Linked DNA regions of Mus musculus. The protein of the gene in region 2 interacts with the protein of the main gene of each other region in a biochemical or structural test. Links are inferred from orthologs where the notes say so. Each region holds a gene or a part of one and is shown on either strand. Other genes may lie near its edges.

The links. The genes of interacting proteins can lie anywhere in the genome.
Region 1: of the proteins of Pml (region 2) and Senp1, one has a biochemical effect on the other in vitro, tested with the Homo sapiens proteins (2 studies listed by BioGRID). The link is inferred for Mus musculus from reciprocal best matches to the Homo sapiens genes PML and SENP1.
Region 3: the proteins of Pml (region 2) and Klhl20 form a complex in vitro, tested with the Homo sapiens proteins (3 studies listed by BioGRID and IntAct, with this or other methods). The link is inferred for Mus musculus from reciprocal best matches to the Homo sapiens genes PML and KLHL20.

The regions. Positions count from the first base shown.
Region 1 is NC_000081.6:98,043,640-98,049,591, forward strand, and holds part of Senp1 (sentrin-specific protease 1), read right to left. Parts: intron 4,751-5,952; coding exon 4,547-4,750; intron 3,634-4,546; coding exon 3,554-3,633; intron 2,305-3,553; coding exon 2,220-2,304; intron 1,760-2,219; coding exon 1,664-1,759; intron 1-1,663. UniProt on the Homo sapiens protein: Protease that catalyzes two essential functions in the SUMO pathway.
Region 2 is NC_000075.6:58,245,752-58,252,498, forward strand, and holds the start of Pml (protein PML), read right to left. Parts: upstream 4,036-6,747; 5' UTR 3,940-4,035; coding exon 3,790-3,939; intron 1,688-3,789; coding exon 1,224-1,687; intron 1-1,223.
Region 3 is NC_000067.6:161,095,550-161,101,501, forward strand, and holds part of Klhl20 (kelch-like protein 20), read right to left. Parts: coding exon 5,902-5,952; intron 3,737-5,901; coding exon 3,593-3,736; intron 2,848-3,592; coding exon 2,714-2,847; intron 189-2,713; coding exon 1-188. UniProt on the Homo sapiens protein: Substrate-specific adapter of a BCR (BTB-CUL3-RBX1) E3 ubiquitin-protein ligase complex involved in interferon response and anterograde Golgi to endosome transport.

The DNA.
Region 1 (5,952 bases), on a different chromosome or scaffold from region 2:
TCAGGACCTCTGGAAGAGCAGTCAGTGCTCTTAACTATGGGCCACCTCTCTGGCCCAGGCATCTGAATTTTTAACTGAATATGGACACTCTGAAGAATCTGAGAACTGTGATAGGTTTCTGAACATACCAGGTCTAGAAACTAATTCAGGCTCAAACGTTCAATGAATCCAAGGTGCATGACTTTAGTGAAGGCCTGACTCTGAGTATACACAGCACACTTTGCACTGTGTGATCTGTGATGCACAGAACGCCATTTATTGTTGCTGGAAACACCCCAGTTCAGATTTCAGACCACTGTACGTTACAAACAGCAGCCGTTTTACTTATACCTAACACTTTTTGCTTTGACAGAAACAAAAAAGCTTAATTATGGAAACCAGAATTTTAGTACCTTCCTATTATCACTCTGGCCTACCTTGGTATTGAACTGGGCCAGTGACATAACTCAGTGAGTATAGAAACTTCTACCAAGCTTGATGACATGCGTTTAGATCTTGGAATTCGTACAACTGTCTGACTCCCACATGCATGCTATTCCTATCCTGTACTACTTCATTCTCAGCATTGCTGACTGTGAAACCTAACTGTCAGCCACTCTGGAAAACAACGAGGACGCGCTATATCCTGTTAACATTAGAGTCAGCCAAACTCAAGGCCACATGCAAACCCAAAACCTTCCATTTCATCTGTGTACAAACTCGCTTTTGTCTTTAACCAACTGTAAAATTACATGTATACCAGAGGACTGTTTTAAAATAAGTTCTTTGCCTTATTATATGTTTCACTAATCTATTTAATATATGTATATATCTAGGGCAATGTAAAAACTTTTTGGATGAAGACGAATAGTAAGTTTTGTTCCTTCTTTCAGACTCATTCATTTTTATATGTACAAATGCCCCTTGCATGTGTGTCTGGGTTCCATGTGCATTCCATGGTACCTGTGGAAGCCACAAGAGGGCGGTGGATTTCCTGGAACTCTAGTTACCAAAGGCTGTATAGGCCATGTGGGCGCTAGGAATTGAACCCAGTCCTCTGGAAGAGCAGCAAGCATCTTAAACCACTGAGCATCTTTCAAGCCTCATCAAGAGGAAAACATTTACGAAGCCCTGGTTCAGACAAAATCTAGACAGGACGCTGATTCCAACAGAAGCAAAAGTAGAAAACATATCAGAATCAGCTGGGATTTGTAGTCTCAGTCCTCTTGGGTTCAGGATGCTGTCTAGGAAAATGACCTTCTACCTTTGAGGTAAAACTGACCAGTGGCACTGACAACGGGCCAGGGAAGGGGGTGTGTAACAAAGGACACAAAGAGATTTACTTGGGTCTATTCCAAAATATTCCAAAACCTGAATGCTAAATTGAGGGGAAGTGAAGAAGGCTTCTTCTGGTTTCAGTTTGTGTTTCCTATAAGGTTAGAGGTGGGGTGTGTGTGTGTGTGTGTGTGTGTGTGTGTGTGTGTGTGTGTCTCGGGCTGGGGGAGATGGACAGACAATAAAGACTTTTCTTCTTAACCCAAGACTCAGTCACTATTATATGTGACAATGGTAGCCTGGCGTGTAGACCAACATTTTCTCCTTTTGTGCAGTGATCTGAGACACAGCCTGAAGTATGTAAAGGTCAGGGCAGAGGCTCCACAGAACAGGCACAGGCCTGCCTCACCTGTGTGAAGTTGATTGGTCTGTCTTTGGTAATGCAGTCAGCATATTTGCAAGCAAACATTCCACAGTCACTCCCATTCATCTGCTGTGGGATTTCCTAAAACAACAACAACAACAAAATATTTTTGCAAACTTCTTTTATCAATTTTACACCATTTCCCTTGGGTCTCCTAAGGGGAAGGAGGTTTAAGGATGCAGCACTGTGGTTCCACCTTTGTGTGTTAGCTTCACACTGGTCACACAGGAGCCTCTCTCAGGCTTTCATGGCACCCAAGGGTGTACAAACTGGTCCTCCTTCTAAGCACCAAACAGTCAACAAGTATTTCTCAACGGAGTAAAAATCTCAGCAAACAGCTCAGCATTTAGAAAACAGTTTTGCACAAGAAACACATCATGAGCTTCCCCACAAATAATTCATCTCCCTTGAGAAACCAGAGAAAGCTGAAGTCAGGCTAGACTTGAATTAGACAGTCCATAGGAGTCAGACAGCAACCAGAACCCTCTTCCCCCAAACACCCCAGCTCTAAAGATTGCTATGATATCAACATGAAACGTACCTGGCTCTTCTTGCTGAAGAGCTGCCAGCCGTTGGTGTCAAACTCTTTCCTTTTCTTGTCAACACTTTCTTGTTTTAGGTATTGCCTAAAGACATCAGAAGAGACCGAGATGAGCTGTGTGCAGCTTGATGGCAGCTGCCACCCACAGAATGGGGCTGGCGACCCTCAGAAGACAACCCTCACAGGTCCCACAAGCAGCCCATTCTGCCACCTGCCAGGAGGGACAGGACCGCTGCTTCTGAGATTCCTGATAGGTAATATTCTTTCTAAATTCTTCAGTCTACTCATCTTTCTAAGAAATATTTTTATATTTATTTTTTCTTGGTTTGTATGGTCCTTTTACAATTATCAACCTAATGCATAACTTATTATTAAATTAATATATATATATATATATATATATATAAATATAAAATTTAAAATGTCTCAAGCAGTATCAGGGTATGTATTTTAAAATTTAACAAGTACAAATTCACACCAGGCAGTGGTGGCACAAGCCTTAAATCCCAGTCCTTGGGAGGGAGGAAGATCTCTGAGTTTGAGGCTGGCTTAGTCTATTACACAGAACAAGTTCCAGGACAGCCAGAGCTACAAAGAGAAAACCTGTCTCAAAAACACAAACAAAACAGTACAAATTCAGAGGACTCTTCCCCAATTTTCATGTGTATATGTTGTGGTGTGCAGTGTGTGGTATGTGCATGTGTTGACGCACACGTGAGCATGAGTGTGTGCATGGTGCACATTGATACTACTAGTCTTGCTAGTCAGTTTGTCTCTGCTTTCCAAGGCTGGAGTTGAGTGGGAACCATGCACACATAGAGCATTTATGTGAGCCCTGGTGATCCTAACTATGGTTCCTATGCTTGTGCAGCAAGCCCGTTAGCCTCTGAGCCTCTCCCTAGCCAAGAGCACTCTTTTGAAGAAGGAAATGCGCACTGTTCAGGAACTTATCCCCCTTGCCATGTATCAGTTGCAGAGCAAGGCACTGGTGTTTACAAAGAGAAGCAAATGGGTGTAAGAGATTCCCATTCTAATTTCCAAGGGAACCACTAAGTAGTAAGACCAAAGCAAAGTCATCTCTGTGGGACTTTTTCGTTTAAAATTTCAGAAAGCTGAATTAAATATGAGTTCTGCTGACTGTATTTCTATGTATATGGTTACTCTATATTTCAGTGTGCCAAGACAGCAACTGCCCTCATTAATACATATTGTATTTAAAATATGCATTTATACTGATGTGACAATGCCACTAATCCCATCTCCGAAGGTCTCACTCAGATTGCTGGAAAGACAGAAAGCAACAAACATTTCTTTTGTCCTCAATTTGCACTTACAAGAGGATCCTGCAGGCCTCGTTGTTTATTCCACCCATAGAATCATAGTAGGTGATACTCTTCCTTCTAAAGTCTACAACCTGGAACAAGACAAAACAGTCAGGACACACGCATCATCAGCTGGCCTCCCTTGGCCTTGACCTTTCCCCAGACTGTCTGTGAGACTGTGAGCAGTATGGTGAATGTGCTGTATTCTAGCATGGGAAGAGCAAGGGGACTGTTTACCTAGGGTGGTGCTGGGGTGATCCACCAGTGGCCTATTAACTGTCTTAAAATCTTTTTTTGCATGCCACTTTCTCCATGATCAACAATGCATGATTCACAGAAAATTAACTATCATAAGATCATTCCCACAGTATAAGAAAGATGGTGACAAGATTCTGCGTTTGTTTTTATCTTATTTCCTTTTTTTGGATCGATATTTATTTATTTATTTATTTATTTATTTATTTATTTATAATATGTAAGTGCACACTGTAGCTGTTTTCCGACTCTCCAGAAGAGGGAGTCAGATTTTGTTATGGACGGTTGTGAGTCACCAGGTGGTTGCTGGGATTTGAATTCAGGACCTTCGGAAGAGCAGTCCGTGCTCTTAACCTTTGAGCCATCTCTCCAGCCCCAGATTGATATCTTTGAAATGTAATTCAAAACAGAATATACAATAACTCTTATTAACATTAAGCTGATGTCTTCATGCTTCCAGAGCACAGAAATGCTAAACCCCCACATGCACAAGGCAAGTCAGAGCTAGGTAGGAAGCTGGGGCTGGTGGCACCACAAACATGCTTGTTCCTTGCCTCACCTGAGGCGGCGGCGGGATGACCTGTAACTTCCGAACCTAAGCATCCCCTACTCTAAAGCCGAGGCATCACTATGAAATTCCACCTCTCCTCCATAGCAAAGCAGAGACACAGATCATATGGCCCACTGGGCTGGCTATGCTGCCTACGTAGATCTCTTTCTCATGCCATCAAAAATAAAGGAGTTACTCACAGCTAGACACCAGTGCACACCCAAGTGAATGGGCACCAGAAGAATATCAACGGAGAATACATCCACCTTCTTTGTCCAGCGTTTCACTGCCTGATAACCAGCTGTTTTTAGCTTAGTGAAGAAGAAGGTATTAAACGCATGTACACTTGGAAACCCCTTCTCTTTACTGCGTTCCATTAGCATGTTCATGTAGAAATTGATGATCTGCAGGAAGACATTACACATTAGAACAGTCCAAACACTAGCACAATCAGAATGTCATTAACATATGCGTATGTATTATGCTATGGATGGCAGCCAACTCAACGAATGCTTCAACAGATAATTTTTAAATATCCAGTTTTCCTTAATATAAAGACTTTATTAATCATACTTCTTAAGTATCACACAACTAAGTTAACTGCTGGAAACCAGAGCAGATAGGCAGCTGCTAGCCAGACTAGCAGAAAACTGGAGGGGAGGAGGAAGATGAGAACCGGAGAGAGGAGACAGGAGTGCAGTGGGAGCTGTCTGAGTGTCTGTGCTGAGCAAGTGGATCCTGGGCTCTGGTCTTATTCTCCCTCTGCCCTTTTCTCCTTCCTCTCCCTCCCTGACATTTTCCCTCTCCTTCCTCTTCTCACTGCTTGGGTTGAGACAGGGTCTCACTCTGTAGCAGACTGTCCTAAACTCACTATAAAGCCCAAGCTAGCCTTGAACCTGTGGTACATGTCCTGTCTGAGACCTGAGTGCTGGAATTAAAGACTTCAACTATTACAGTTGCACACAGAGAAAACCCAGCTCCGCATCTGAGGCCTTCTCAGCCATGTGCAGCAGCAAACTGCTTCGGTTTCGCGCAAATCTAAGACCAGAAACCCCTGAGACAAGCTAGGAAATGCCTGCAATAGCACAGCACCCTCCCCTGGGAACCCAGGCGTCAGGTCCTAGCATGACGAAGCGAGGTGGTTAGCTTTCTCATCACTGCATCACTTCTTCAGTATCAAGTGTGCGCATGATGAATTAAAATATTTGATAGAAGAGATGTGCGATTCTTAGTCAACAAAGCAATGTCTTTTAGAACAGTAACTATGCTGTCTGTGGTTCCTTTAGGTCCAGAGTCCTGGTCCTAACGCTTAAAAGTTATTAGGCCAAAAATTACAGCATACTTACTTTATGTGGATAGCTAAGGCCAAGCCAGTGTCTGTCAACTGAAAGGAATGAATGGGCTAACTGAGCCACAGCTTGGAAATATGACTATGAAAACAGGGACATTTTTCAGAATGTTTTTTGAGGAATGGGAAAAAGCCCCCGTCTTTTGACAAATATTTACACACCAGGATGCCAGAGCAGTGAGCCACTGTCCACAGGGAATCCTGCCAGGAATACACCCAACCCTGGTCTAGACCAGAGAAAGGGCCCATAGATACAGA
Region 2 (6,747 bases):
AGTTTTTCCTCCTAGGAACCAAAATCTAGTTCAAAGAAAAGACACTGATTTTAATTCATCATATTAAAAGACCAAAGATCATATAAGAGATTATTTTATACATAGGTGTGAGCTCTTTCTTGGACTGATTCAAAGTCATACACTGTAAGACAGAAAACTGACACATTTGATCCCCTAAAACTAAAGAGTTATTTTAAATATGATACCACATACTAAGTGAAATATTACCACAATAGATTCTTACAGAGGGACCTGGAAGAACTCCTCAAAGGAAAAGAAAAGAAGGCACCAAACAGACAATTCACAAAGGATTGAGAACTCCAGGGCTAATAAAGAGAGAGAAGCCATTTGATCTTAACAGTGTGCCATGAAATGCAAATTCAGCAGCTGTACCTGCTGCAGAGGAATGGGGTGGGGGCAGGACTCCTCTGATGAAGCTGGCAGGAAGCTCGGTCGGTCAAGGAGTGCCCCAAAAGAGGAAGCGGTTTGGTTCCCATTGATTCCTCAAAAACTACTAGTTCCTATTCAAGCAATCTGCTTCTGAGTGGTCAAAAGTTCCTTTATCATACACTACCATATTGGCTAAAAGGGTGGATACAAGTCCTGATAAGGTTACCCGACCTGCATTTTATTCACAAAGAAACTTAAAAGAAGCATTCCAAATTAGCCATGGCAGCTGCCCTGAGAATGGAGGTAAAGTGTTGAAAACTAAGCAGGTAGGAATGGAATGGAGATGGCACTCTCTTTTCTTTAGTATAAATTTTGTTTGTGAGCCATATAAATATATTCCCTACATAAATAGAAAATATGTTGCTTAACAAAAATAATTATAAGTGACTTTCTTTGTTCTTTGCATATAGTCATTTTCAGATAGCACTCCCTGATGCCATAGTTTCAACTTTTCAAACACTATTTTCCTGCCCCAATAATAACATCCAGCCTTACTGAGATTCCCTGGGGCCTCCGAAGGAAATGTCCACTATTAAGACATCTAAAGTTCGGTGGTGACACATACTAAAACCTACTGTTTTCACATATCACTTGCAATGGCACTCTGAAATTTTTTCATCCTAAAGACAAACTAGGTATGGGTGCAAAGATGACTCTGAAGCTATATATAATATTTCAAAGGGTCATTAGAAACGACTATAAACCAGCGGAGCCCATTTTGAGTGACAATTCCCTGAAGCTTTCACCCCCTGACTCCAGGATGCTCCACTTACTCAGTCAGCGCAGGGTTGCGGTGGTTGGTATTGGAGCAGAAGATATTGGACTTGCGCGTACTGTCGAGGAAGCTGCTCACTGAATTGTCGCGGAGATCAGCCAGGGGCCGGGCCTCATGCTTGAGGTACCACTGGTGTGCTTCGAAGCACTTGCTGCAAATGAGCTGTTCACACTCGAAACACCAGAAGTCGGCCAAGCCTTTGCAGCGGGTGCACGCAGCCTGAGCATCCACGATCTGCCGGAACACCGCCAGGCGCCGCTGCAGGCTCTCGAAGAACACGTTATCCAGGGCCTCCCCATTAGCATCGGCCTGCCCAGGAGCCTTGCAGATGGGGCACTGCAGGCCAGGCGCCTCCAGGCATCCGGAGCACAGCGTGTGCAGGCAAGGCAGCAGTTTGGGGCACTTGGCTTGGGCCTGGCAGCTCGGGCAGCGCAGAAACTGAAATTCCTCCTGTATGGCTTGCTAGTGAACCAAGGAGAGAAGTGAGGCCTACAGAAAGCCCAGACGTCTTGTCCCCTCCACTGGCCGCCCATCCCTTCAGCTGGAGATTGGAGAGGGTAGGACCTCACATTCCATTCCTGGGAGTCATTGGATCATGTCCTGGCTTATCGGCACCCCAGTTCCTCATTTACTTCGAGCCTTGCAGCTCTCACTGCACAATTTACCGGGCACCCATCTGCTTATCATTAGACTCACTAGTAGGTCCTGAGATACAAGATAGGATAGATACATCTTTGCATTTAAGGGACTCAAGTTTGGAAAAGTATCAACTTCATATAAAGTGCTTAACACAATTGGCAGGATGACCCTCAAAAAGTTAGACTTAAACTACCGTATGACCAAGCTTCCACTTTCCATATATATACTCAAAAGAACTGGAAAAAATATCCAAGCATATAATTATATACTAATGTGCCTAGCAACACCCCCACAAAAGTCACAGTGACCCAAGTGTCCTTAGCACATGAACGCATGAACAAAATGTGTCTGCAAATGTAACAAAATAGTATTCACCCTGAAAGAGGAATGAAATCCTGATACATTCAACAACCTGGATGAACCTTGAAGACATGGTGAAATAATATGCCTGCCATAAAATTAGAAATATTGTGTAATTCCAGTCATGTCATATAAAATAATAATAGTTAGTTCATAGGTATAGAAGGTGGAGCTACTGTTCAAAGAGCTCAATACCATGGTGCCTGGCACATGAGAAATACCCATAAGTCTAATCCCAGCACTCAGGAGGCAGAGGCAGGCGATTTCGAGGCCAGCCTGGTTCACAAAGTGAGTTCCAGGACAGCCAGGGCTATACAGAGAAACCCTGTCTCGAAAAACCAAAAAAAAAAAAAAAAAGAGAGAGAGATTGAGAGAGAGAGAGAAGTACCCATAAATGTCAACTAGTATTTTTAATCCTTAGCTATATAATGCTAATAATAAAAAGTTAGGGCAATGTGACCTTATTTGTGTTTTTTGTGAAGGGAAAAATGAGTGAAGAATAATGGGATGGAGGTAGTTCCTTCCAGGGTGAGTATGGAAGGTTGAGGCAATACTCCCAGGAAGGCCATGAACTAGGCTTCCTTAGGAAAATGAGCTTGGTGGCGCATACATTAATCCCAGAGCTCAGAAGGCAGGCAGGTGGTTTCTATGAATTTGAGACCAGCCTGGCTTACAAAGCAAGCTCCAGCCCGGCCAAGGCTACAGAGTGAGACCCTGTGTTCCAAAAGATAAAATAAAATAAATCCCTAAACCTCATACACATAAAATAAATTGATGAAAATCAAAAGAGAAAGCAGCTGTGTGAATCCTGTTGGTCTTAGCAGGCACTTTGGTCTGAGCCAGGTTCTGTCTGTTTGTTTGTTTTGTTTTGAAACAGGTCTTGCTGTGATGCCCTCAGCGGTCTTGAACTCTCTTTGTGGCCTAGGCTGGCCTGGAACTTGTCATCCTCCCTCCAGCCCTACCATCCCAAGCACTATTGCTCCTGGGATGTGCAACCACAGCTGAAAAACGGGAAGTGTTGGTGTGGGGGTCAGGGAGGGCGACTATAGTTTTGCCAAGTCTGGGACATGCCTTTAGCTCCAGGCCAGAGCAAATAAGACTCCTGGCCAGGCCTTCCACAGGACTATAGTCTTTCATCTGAGGTAGGCGCTTCAGGCAAGGCTTCAGGGAGTAGGAGTTACAATCCAACTATCCCCAGTTACAATCCAACTCATCCCGGTTTTTTTTTTTTTTTTTTTAGACAGGGTTTCTCTGTGTAGCCCTGGCTGTCCTGGAACTCACTCTGTAGAGACCAGGCTGGCCTTGAACTCAGAAATCCACCTGCCTCTGCCTCCCAAGTGTTGGGATTAGAGGTGTGCCCCACACCGCCGGGCCCCTGTTCCTATTTTACTCTAGGCTATCAGTTCTACCTCTGCCCAGCCAGGAGGGTCAGGACCTTGGTGTCTCTTTAGGACACTAACCCATTAACTTACTTCTCTATAACGACCTTCTTCATCCTCAACTCCTCGACCAAAGTAAACGAATAAAAAAACCTAATAGCCCTACACCTTCTAACCCAGTAGTACCTCTGCAGGGCTTTGGCTGTGTTCATAGTCTTCGGAGGGTTCCTCTGGGGGAGGCATGGTGGGCGTGGGGGTCAGGGCAGAGTCCTGTTGTCGACAGGGAGATCCAGGGGGTGCAGGTACCTTCTGCACGGAAACTGGTTCAGTTTCCATTTCTTGATTAGGTCTGTGAAGGCGGGAAATGGGTCTCAGATCTGAGCCAGAAAACTGAGCGAGAGATTGCCCGAGGAGAGCCCGCCTCCCGAGAGGAAGTGAGACAGGGCTGGGCGGGTCTAGGGGCGGAGAGGCTGGTTCTATAATCTCCCTTCCAAAGTTAAGAGAAAGACTAGGGAGCTATGGAAGTAACTCTGGTAGAGTCAGAAAGGTTAACCAAACAAGCAAGTAAACAAGCCCGGCATGCGGGCATGGCTCATTAGCAGAACAAGGAAAGATCCGGCCACGTACGCAGCATGCACACCAGGAGAGAAACAGAGCTGACAGGCTTTTCCCTGTCTGTGAGCTATTGGACTCATTCCACAGCTATATGTCTTTCTAGTTAAAAGCCAGGTAGAGAAATAAACTCCTCTTTGAGAGAGCCTCCCAAGTGCACCCTAGTGGAGACTTCGACTCAGTACTGGGATGGGTTTGCCTGGAAAGGCATCCCTCAGCTGAGAATGGAGCATGAGATAGAAAATGACCAGGAATTCAGAGCTGCTCAGACATTTTAAAGAGAGACAAACACTTGGAAAGGAGTGGAGGTCTGAAACAGGAGAGCCAGTTTGGGAAGTAGTCAGGGCCATTTTCAGATTTAAGATGGGGCTCCTGCGAAGTGATACCAGAGAAGATGAGATGAATCATACGGTGAGAAATGGACCGATTCTACATATGATCTGAGAGTTGGTGAAGGGTTTCTTACAGCGTGTCAGCTGCGTCTCTTGAATGACCTTGAGGCAGGTGGCCTATGAGAAGTAACTGTGGGACACAGAGTTAGTTCTGAGTCAGTGGAAGGACCGTGGTGACAGAACAGCGTTGAATGGGTCTGATGACTGTGCATCGTACAGAGGTAGACAACAGGGAGGCAAGGGGAGAGCTGGCCAGCAGTGGTGAAGAAAACAAGAGATACAAAGTTAGCTTTTTGACCAAGAAAAAGCAATCCAGAAACTAGTGGGTGAGGAAAACACACACCTGCTGACACTCTCATTGGCCAGTGCCTTTGGCTTCTAACTTCAGTCTGTTCCCACCCACTTTTCTGGCCCCTATGTGCCTATTCTCTGTTCCTATGTGAAACTGATTAAAAGGGATGGTAACAGGTTCCTGCTTTTGTAAACTTAGAGTTGTGGTGAGATGGGTTCTAAAGGGAGACCCAACATCCTGGAGACTGTGGAGGCCATACATCTAAGCTGACCAGTATCCCTTGGCCTTTAAAATTAGCCCATCAAGGGCTGGAGAGATGGCTCAGCGGTTAAGAGCACTGACTGTTCTTCCTGAGGTCCTGAGTTCAATTCCCAGCAGCCACATGGTGGCTCACAAGCATCTGTAATAGAATCTGATTCCCTCTTCTGGTGTGTCTGAAAACAGCTACAGTGTACTCATATAAATATTTTGAGTAAATATTTTAAAAAATTAGGCCAAGATCAGTTATATTGTGTACAAATATTTGTGTTTTCTTTCCTCAATTTTTTAAATTATGTGATGTAACATCTATTAATAGAATGTCAATGGTTATCATATTGAAGTCTGAGATACTAATAGAATGTTTCTAGGGGGCTGGTGAGATGGCTCAGGGGTTAAGAGCACTGACTGCTCTTCCAGAGGTCCTGAGCTCAATTCCCAGCAACCACATGGTGGCTACAACCATCTGTAATGGGATCTGATGCCCTCTTCTGGTGTGTCTGAAGACATCGACAGTGTACTCACATACATGAAATAAATTAATTAATTCAAAAAAAAAAAAAAAAGAATGTCCCTCAAGGGACATTGTCATCTACTCTAAATTTTTTGTTTGTTCGTTTGTTTTTGTTTGTTTGTTTGGTTTGGTTTGTTTGTTTTTTGTTTTTTGTTTTTTTTTTGGTTTTTCAAGACAGGGTTTCCCTGTACAGCCCTGGCTGTCCTGGAACTCACTTTGTAGACCAGCCTGGTCTTAAACTCAGAAATCTGCCTGCCTCTGCCTCCGAGTGCTGGGATTAAAGGCGTGCACCGTCACGCCTGGCATCTACTCTAAATTTGCAATGCATTTGCAGTTGTATGAGGGATAGTTTTATCTGGTTAGGTGTAATTATAACATGGTTAAATATAATGTGTTTGTAATTGTATGTCAGATAGTTATATCATGTTTAGGTATTATTATGATTTGCTTAATGTTTTCACTTGGAAATTGATAAGAAGATATGATTGTGTGTCAAGTTGGCAAGGGGTGGACTTGTATGGCAATTCTGGGTTGTCAACTTGACTACATTTGAAATTAATTAAAACCTCACTCCCGGTACCAACTCATCTTAGGGTTTTTATTGCTGTGACAAAACACCGTGAGTAAAGAGCAAGTTGGGTAGGAAAGGCTTTATTTTGCTTACATTTCCATATGGTGGTCCATCAATGAGGGAAGCCAGGACTCAAATAGGGCAGGAACCTGGATGCAGGAGCTGCTGCAAAGGCCATGGAGGATGCTGCTTACTGGCTTGTTCAGCCTGCTTTCTTAATGAACCCAGGACCAGCAGCCCAGGGTTGGCCCCACCCACAATGGAATGGGCCCTGCAACGTCAATCATAAATTAGGAAAATGCTCTTCAGGCTTGCCTACAGCACAACCATTTTCTCAATTGGAGATCCCTCTTTTCAGATTATTCTAGCTTGTGTCAAGTTGACATAAAATTAGCCAGGCTAGCAGTCATAGGCAGGGGAACTTAGAAATGAGCTATGGCAAGGATCCAGGGAGGCAAGACTGGGAAAGATTCGTCTTTTCTTGCTTTGTAAAATGGCCTCCTGC
Region 3 (5,952 bases), on a different chromosome or scaffold from region 2:
GGCCACCACGGGAGACCACTGGTTAGTTCTGGGGTTGTATCTCTCAGCACTGCTAAGCTCTGTAGTGTCGTCTCTCCCTCCCACTGCATAGATCATGTCCTGGTACACCGCACAGCCTAGGTGTTTTCTTCGGGTCCCCATAGGCGCTATGGTGTGCCATCTGTTTTCCTGAGGATTGTAGCGCTCCACTGCAGTGAAGACAAAGATCAGTAAGTAAGAACAAACCTGCTTCCTTCTTCATAGCCACTCCAACGGCCAAGACACCTACTTTTCAGTAAATAATCTGATCAGGAAACAGTTTCTTTTTTTTTTAATTTGATATTTTCTTCATTTACATTTCAAATGCTATCCCAAAAGTCCCCTATACCCTACCCCCTTACATTTCAAATGCTATCCCAAAAGTCCCCTATACCCTACCCCCACGCTGCTCCCCTCCCCACCCACTCCCACTTCTTGGCCCTGGTGTTTCCCTGTACTGGGGCATATAAAGTTTGCTAGACCAAGGGGCCTTTCTTCCCAATGATGGCCGACTAGGCCATCTTCTGATACATATGTAGCTAGAGACATGAGCTCTGGGGGTACTGGTTAGTTCATATTGTTGTTCCACCTATAGGGTTGCAGACCCCTGCAGCTCTTGGGTACTTTCTCTAGCTCCTACATTGGGGGCCAGTTTCTTACAGTCATCTTCTAAGGAACTGGCATGTGTTAACTTCTAGTTGTGGCTACATAACTAGTTATATGCACTTTCCTTATCTTCTAGTAGGGTGGAACTTGATTATGACTTAAAAGAATGGTTTAGTATTAAAAATTCATTGTTATAGTTAGACAGGTTTTTTACTTTTATTTTTCTCATATAATTTATTTGATTATTTATTCATGTTTTGTTCTTTTTTTTAGATGGAGTCTTGCTCTGTGGTGCTAGCCTAGAACTCACTATGTAGCCCGGCCTCAAACTCATGATCGATCCTTCTGTCTTTGTCTCCCAAGTGCTGGGATTAGTGGCGTGCTCGCCCATGCTGTTTGCCTAGTGTCTTCTGAGCCACCGAAGATACATAACAATGAATCTCATGGTGTGCCACTGACAATATCCTTAGATAAAAATAGCTATTATGTCTAGACCAGTGATTCTCAACCTGTGGATCATGACTCCTTTGGGGGGGTGTGTGTCACACATCAGTTATTTGCATTGCGATTCATAACAGTTATGAAGTAGTAATTAATTTTATGGTTGGGGGGTCACCACAACATGAGGAATTGTATTAAAGGATTGCTGCATTAGGAAGTTTGAGAACCACTGGTCTAGATAGAAAAGGCAAAGAAGCTTGTAGCTCTAAGGTTTTACTTATTCTTATATTAAAAGAATTCTTTTTCTACTGAGGAGAGGTGGTGATTATGGGAGGTAGGGAACTCACTCTATTTAGAAAGTAGAGTTTTGCTTTGTTTTTTAAACTGTGGCCCTATTTGTTTGTTTACTTATTTACTTATCTATCTTCTTTGCCCTCATGTGTGTATATGCACGATGTGCATGCCTGGTGTCTTCAGCAGAACCCTGGGGCTGCAGGTGCAGATGGCTGTAAGGCACCTGGGGCTGCAGGTGCAGATGGCTGTAAGGCACCTATGGGTGCAGGTGCAGATGGCTGTAAGGCACCTGTGGGTGCAGGTGCAGATGGCTGTAAGGCACCTGTGGGTGCAGGTGCAGATGGCTGTAAGGCACCTGTGGGTGCAGGTGCAGATGGCTGTAAGGCACCTGTGGGTGCAGGTGCAGATGGCTGTAAGGCACCTGTGGGTGCCGGTGCAGATGGCTGTAAGGCACCTGTGGGTGCAGGAGCTGAGCAAGAAGCATTCTCAACCAAGCGCTCTTAACCACTAAGTCGTCTCTGCAGCCCCAGACTTTTAAAAATTCACTATAAGTTTCTGGAAGTTTATGAAGTATGTAGAGAAAGAAAACTTTGGGGAACATATTAGAAGTTATGAGTTACATTTTTCTAGAGAGAAAACTAAAACATATTCTTTAAAAAGATAAAAAATACATTTATGAGTATATGAGCAGCACAAATTAGATTTGGTGGGTGTATTGGCTAGTTTTGTGTCAACTTGACACAGCTGGAGTTATCACAGAAAAAGGAGCTTCAGTTGAGGAAATGCCTCCATGAGATCCAACTGTAAGGCATTTTCTCAATTAGTGATCAAGGGGGAAAGGCCCTTGTGGGTGGGACCATCTCTGGGCTGGTAGTCTTGGTTCTATAAGAGAGCAGGCTGAGCAAGCCAGGGGAAGCAAGCCAGTAAGGAACATCCCTCCATGGCCTCTGCATCAGCTCCTGCTTCCTGACCTGCTTGAGTTCCAGTCCTGACTTCTTTCAGTGATGAACAGCAATGTGGAAATGTAAGCTGAATAAACCCTTTCCTTCCCAACTTGCTTCTTGGTCATGATGTTTGTGCAGTAATAGAAACCCTGACTAAGACAGTGGGTTACTAAGAAGACAAATGAAGTTGAGACTGGATGGGGAGGTGGAGGGTGGATCTGAGAGGAGTGGAAGGATGAATACAATAAAATATATTCCATGAAATTCTTCAAGAATTAATAAAGACGTTATATTGAAAGTATATTGAAAGTAGAATAACCTGAGCATTTAATATTTAGTATAGAGCATTTAATATTTCCCCCAGGAAAATGTGTTGCATTTGGAACTCATACTGCTGTTGAGAGACTGACCTGTGTTAAGTGGAGATGTTCCATCTGAGCCACCAACAGCGTATAAGAACCCTCCCAACACGGCGACAGCCACCCCTAGCCTTCTAGTGCTCATTGAAGCCACCCGGGTCCACTTGTTCTCCTTTGGATCATACCTGCAGGGAGGGAAACATATTCCTACTGCCCAAGCAGTGTCTACACATCTGAAACCACAAGAGATAAAATGGACACACACATCTGCCATAGCTTAAGAAAAAGTACACACACACAAAGTCACACACATACAGTCATACACATCTACTATTCAGTTTTATTAAAAGCCACAAATTTGTCATTTGTGACAATAGGATGAATGTGGGGGGATATTTTGTTAAGTGAAATAAGTCAGACACATGAAGAAAAATACCATTTGATCTTGAAGATGGAATCTAAAATGAGTCTAATTTATAGAAGCAAACAGTAGAGGATTCCACTCTCAGTGGGCTGGGTGATTGGTTGGCAGGATCACAGAGATGCTGGTCAAAAATACTTTAAGGAAATCTAAAGTACATTGCGGTGAGTAGTTATTATGTCATGCATTTGAAAATTTGGTGAAAAGTGTTTTCACCAAAACTCTCTAAGTATTTAGGGTAATAATCAGCTAATTAGTTTGTCTTAGCCATTCTACATGGTTTAAATAGTTAAATACATCATGTTCACCACAAATGTATTTTTATCAATTAAAGAGTAGATGGGGGTGTGCTATAGACTAGTAGACGGAGAGAACCAATTCCACAAAGTCACCTTCTGACCCTCCCACTCCATTATAAGCTCTAGGCCATTTCGGGCTACATAAAACTGCAAAAAGAACTCTGAATGCCCATTAAAAGTTGAAAGTTACTTTGATTAAAAAGACATCACCTCTCAACTATATTGAGGCAAGAGACACCATCCTGTCCACCCACAGCATAGAGAAAACCTCCAAGGACTGCCACACCAACGCTTGTCCTGCAGGTGCTTGTAGGGGCCACATCGCTGCTCCATTGGTTAGTTTTGGGGTCATATCTGGAAAGAACACCAAGAGTATGTATTACATGGTGGAGCTTGACTGTGCTTATATTTCAAACATAAGCATATATTTCTATTTAAGGACTGTTTCTTTTTCTCAAACATAGGCTGATTAACAATCAAGGCATATGAATGGGGATTGAACTGAGGGACCATATGCTGGTAACTGTGCTGTTAGACCTACATCCCTGCCTAATTTACCTTTTACAATTTATTTTTAATGTTTATTTTGAATATATTTTCCTTTATAAAAATCAGAATGCTGCAGAATCCCACACCAGTTCCAGTTTCTTCCCATTTGGATTTGGCATACATCCCTTAAACCTTTGCAATAAAATGTTATTCACATTTGCATTTATTTAAATGCAAAAATGCTTTATTTACATAAATAATACTACACAGTATGCAGTTTTCTCCTTTGATGTATTTTTGAGATCTCATTTTGTTAATATCATTGTAGATTTTTTTCTTTGAACTATTTAGTTATATTGCAATGTACAATGTACAATGCACTGTTTGATCTTATTTTCTAATGATAGCATACACACACACACACACACACACACACACTTTGGTAATTAGAAACAGGAATTATAACACTGAGCACACAGCTCAACAGTAGAGTGCTTATCTGGCATGTGCAGGACCCCTTAACCACTGAAAAGCCACAAAGCAAAAGATAACCAAGTTGCCCCCTTTATAGCTATATTCATTTTTACTTTAAAATTTTTCATTACTTTTCTTTCCTCCTGGTTTTTTCCTGTTTTTCTAGATTTTTGTTGCTCTTTATAACTTCTTGACTTAAAAGCACATTTTTCTTTCTTTTTCCTCTTTGAGACAGGGTCTCTCTATGTAGTTTGGAATTGCCTCAAACTTGTGACCCTTGGCTCTCCTGCTTCAGCCTCCCACATGCTAGGATCACAGATATGTGCAGCACACCCACCTCTCTTACTTTCTCTTTTCTCTTTTTCAAATGCGTCTAACATATTGTTCGTTCACACGCTTGCCTCTATGTATCACCTTAGCTACAGTTTAGATATTTTGATATATATTGACCTAATTGTTTAGCTACAAACATTTAGTCATTGTGCTCTGATTTATTCAGCACACCGACTTACATCTAGGTACCATTCTCCCTGCTGTTCCTCCCTCCACAATCTATAGAGCCAACCCTTCTGTTTCGATTGTCTGGTTTTGTTTTTTACCTATGCCATATCTAGAACCAATGTCCAGAACTGGATATACAACTTTCTACAGATATGCTATGGAACTATGACAATTACTACAGATCAGCATGGCTTAATAAAAGAGATTGTGTGGCAACAAGAAACTTAAAAGAAAAAAAATTCTCTCACTGTAACTTCCAGTGTGCCAGGTACCTCAACAATTGTATAAAACAGTATGCACAAGCATCCTTAAAATACTCATGAAGGGGCTGGAGAGATGGCTCAATGGTTAAGAGCGCTGACTGCTCCTCCGAAGGTCCTGAGTTCAAATCCCAGCAACCACATAGTGGTTCACAACCATCTGTAATGGGATCTGACACCCTCTTCTGGTGCATTTGAAGACATCTACAGTGTACTTAGATACAATAATAAATAAATCTTTAGGCTGGAGTGAGCAACCTAGCAACCACATGATGGCTCACAACCATCTGTACAGCTAGAGTATACCCATAATACAGTAAATAAATAAATAAATTAATTAATTAATAAACAAACAAACAGGTAAATCTATCTTTAAAAAAAAAAACTTATGAAAGAGCAGAGGAACAAGTAACTCATCTGTGGTCAGAGAAGGTTTTACGCAGGAAGTAACATTTGAAATCTTGTAAGCCTTAAAGGGGCACAGATATTCCAGGGTGGGAAGAACAGCATGCATACATGCAGGGGCAGGAGGAGGAAAGAAGACAGTATGCCCAAGGAGCTGCAGGCAGTTTGCTATATCTGCATTAGCATGCTTAGAAAATGACTGTGTCCAGTGGGGAAGAGACCAGAAAAATTGGTAAAGATCAGATCATAAAGGTCTTCATGATAAGGAGGAGTCTAGACTATTAATTGGTGTCACAGATATACCACTAAATTAGTAAGTCACATGGTTTTCAATTAGTACCTCAAACAAAATCATAGGGACAAGAGGGATTTTTTTAACATTAACCTTACCTTTCAACACTATTGAGATATGAGGATCCATCATGGCCGCCTACTGCATAT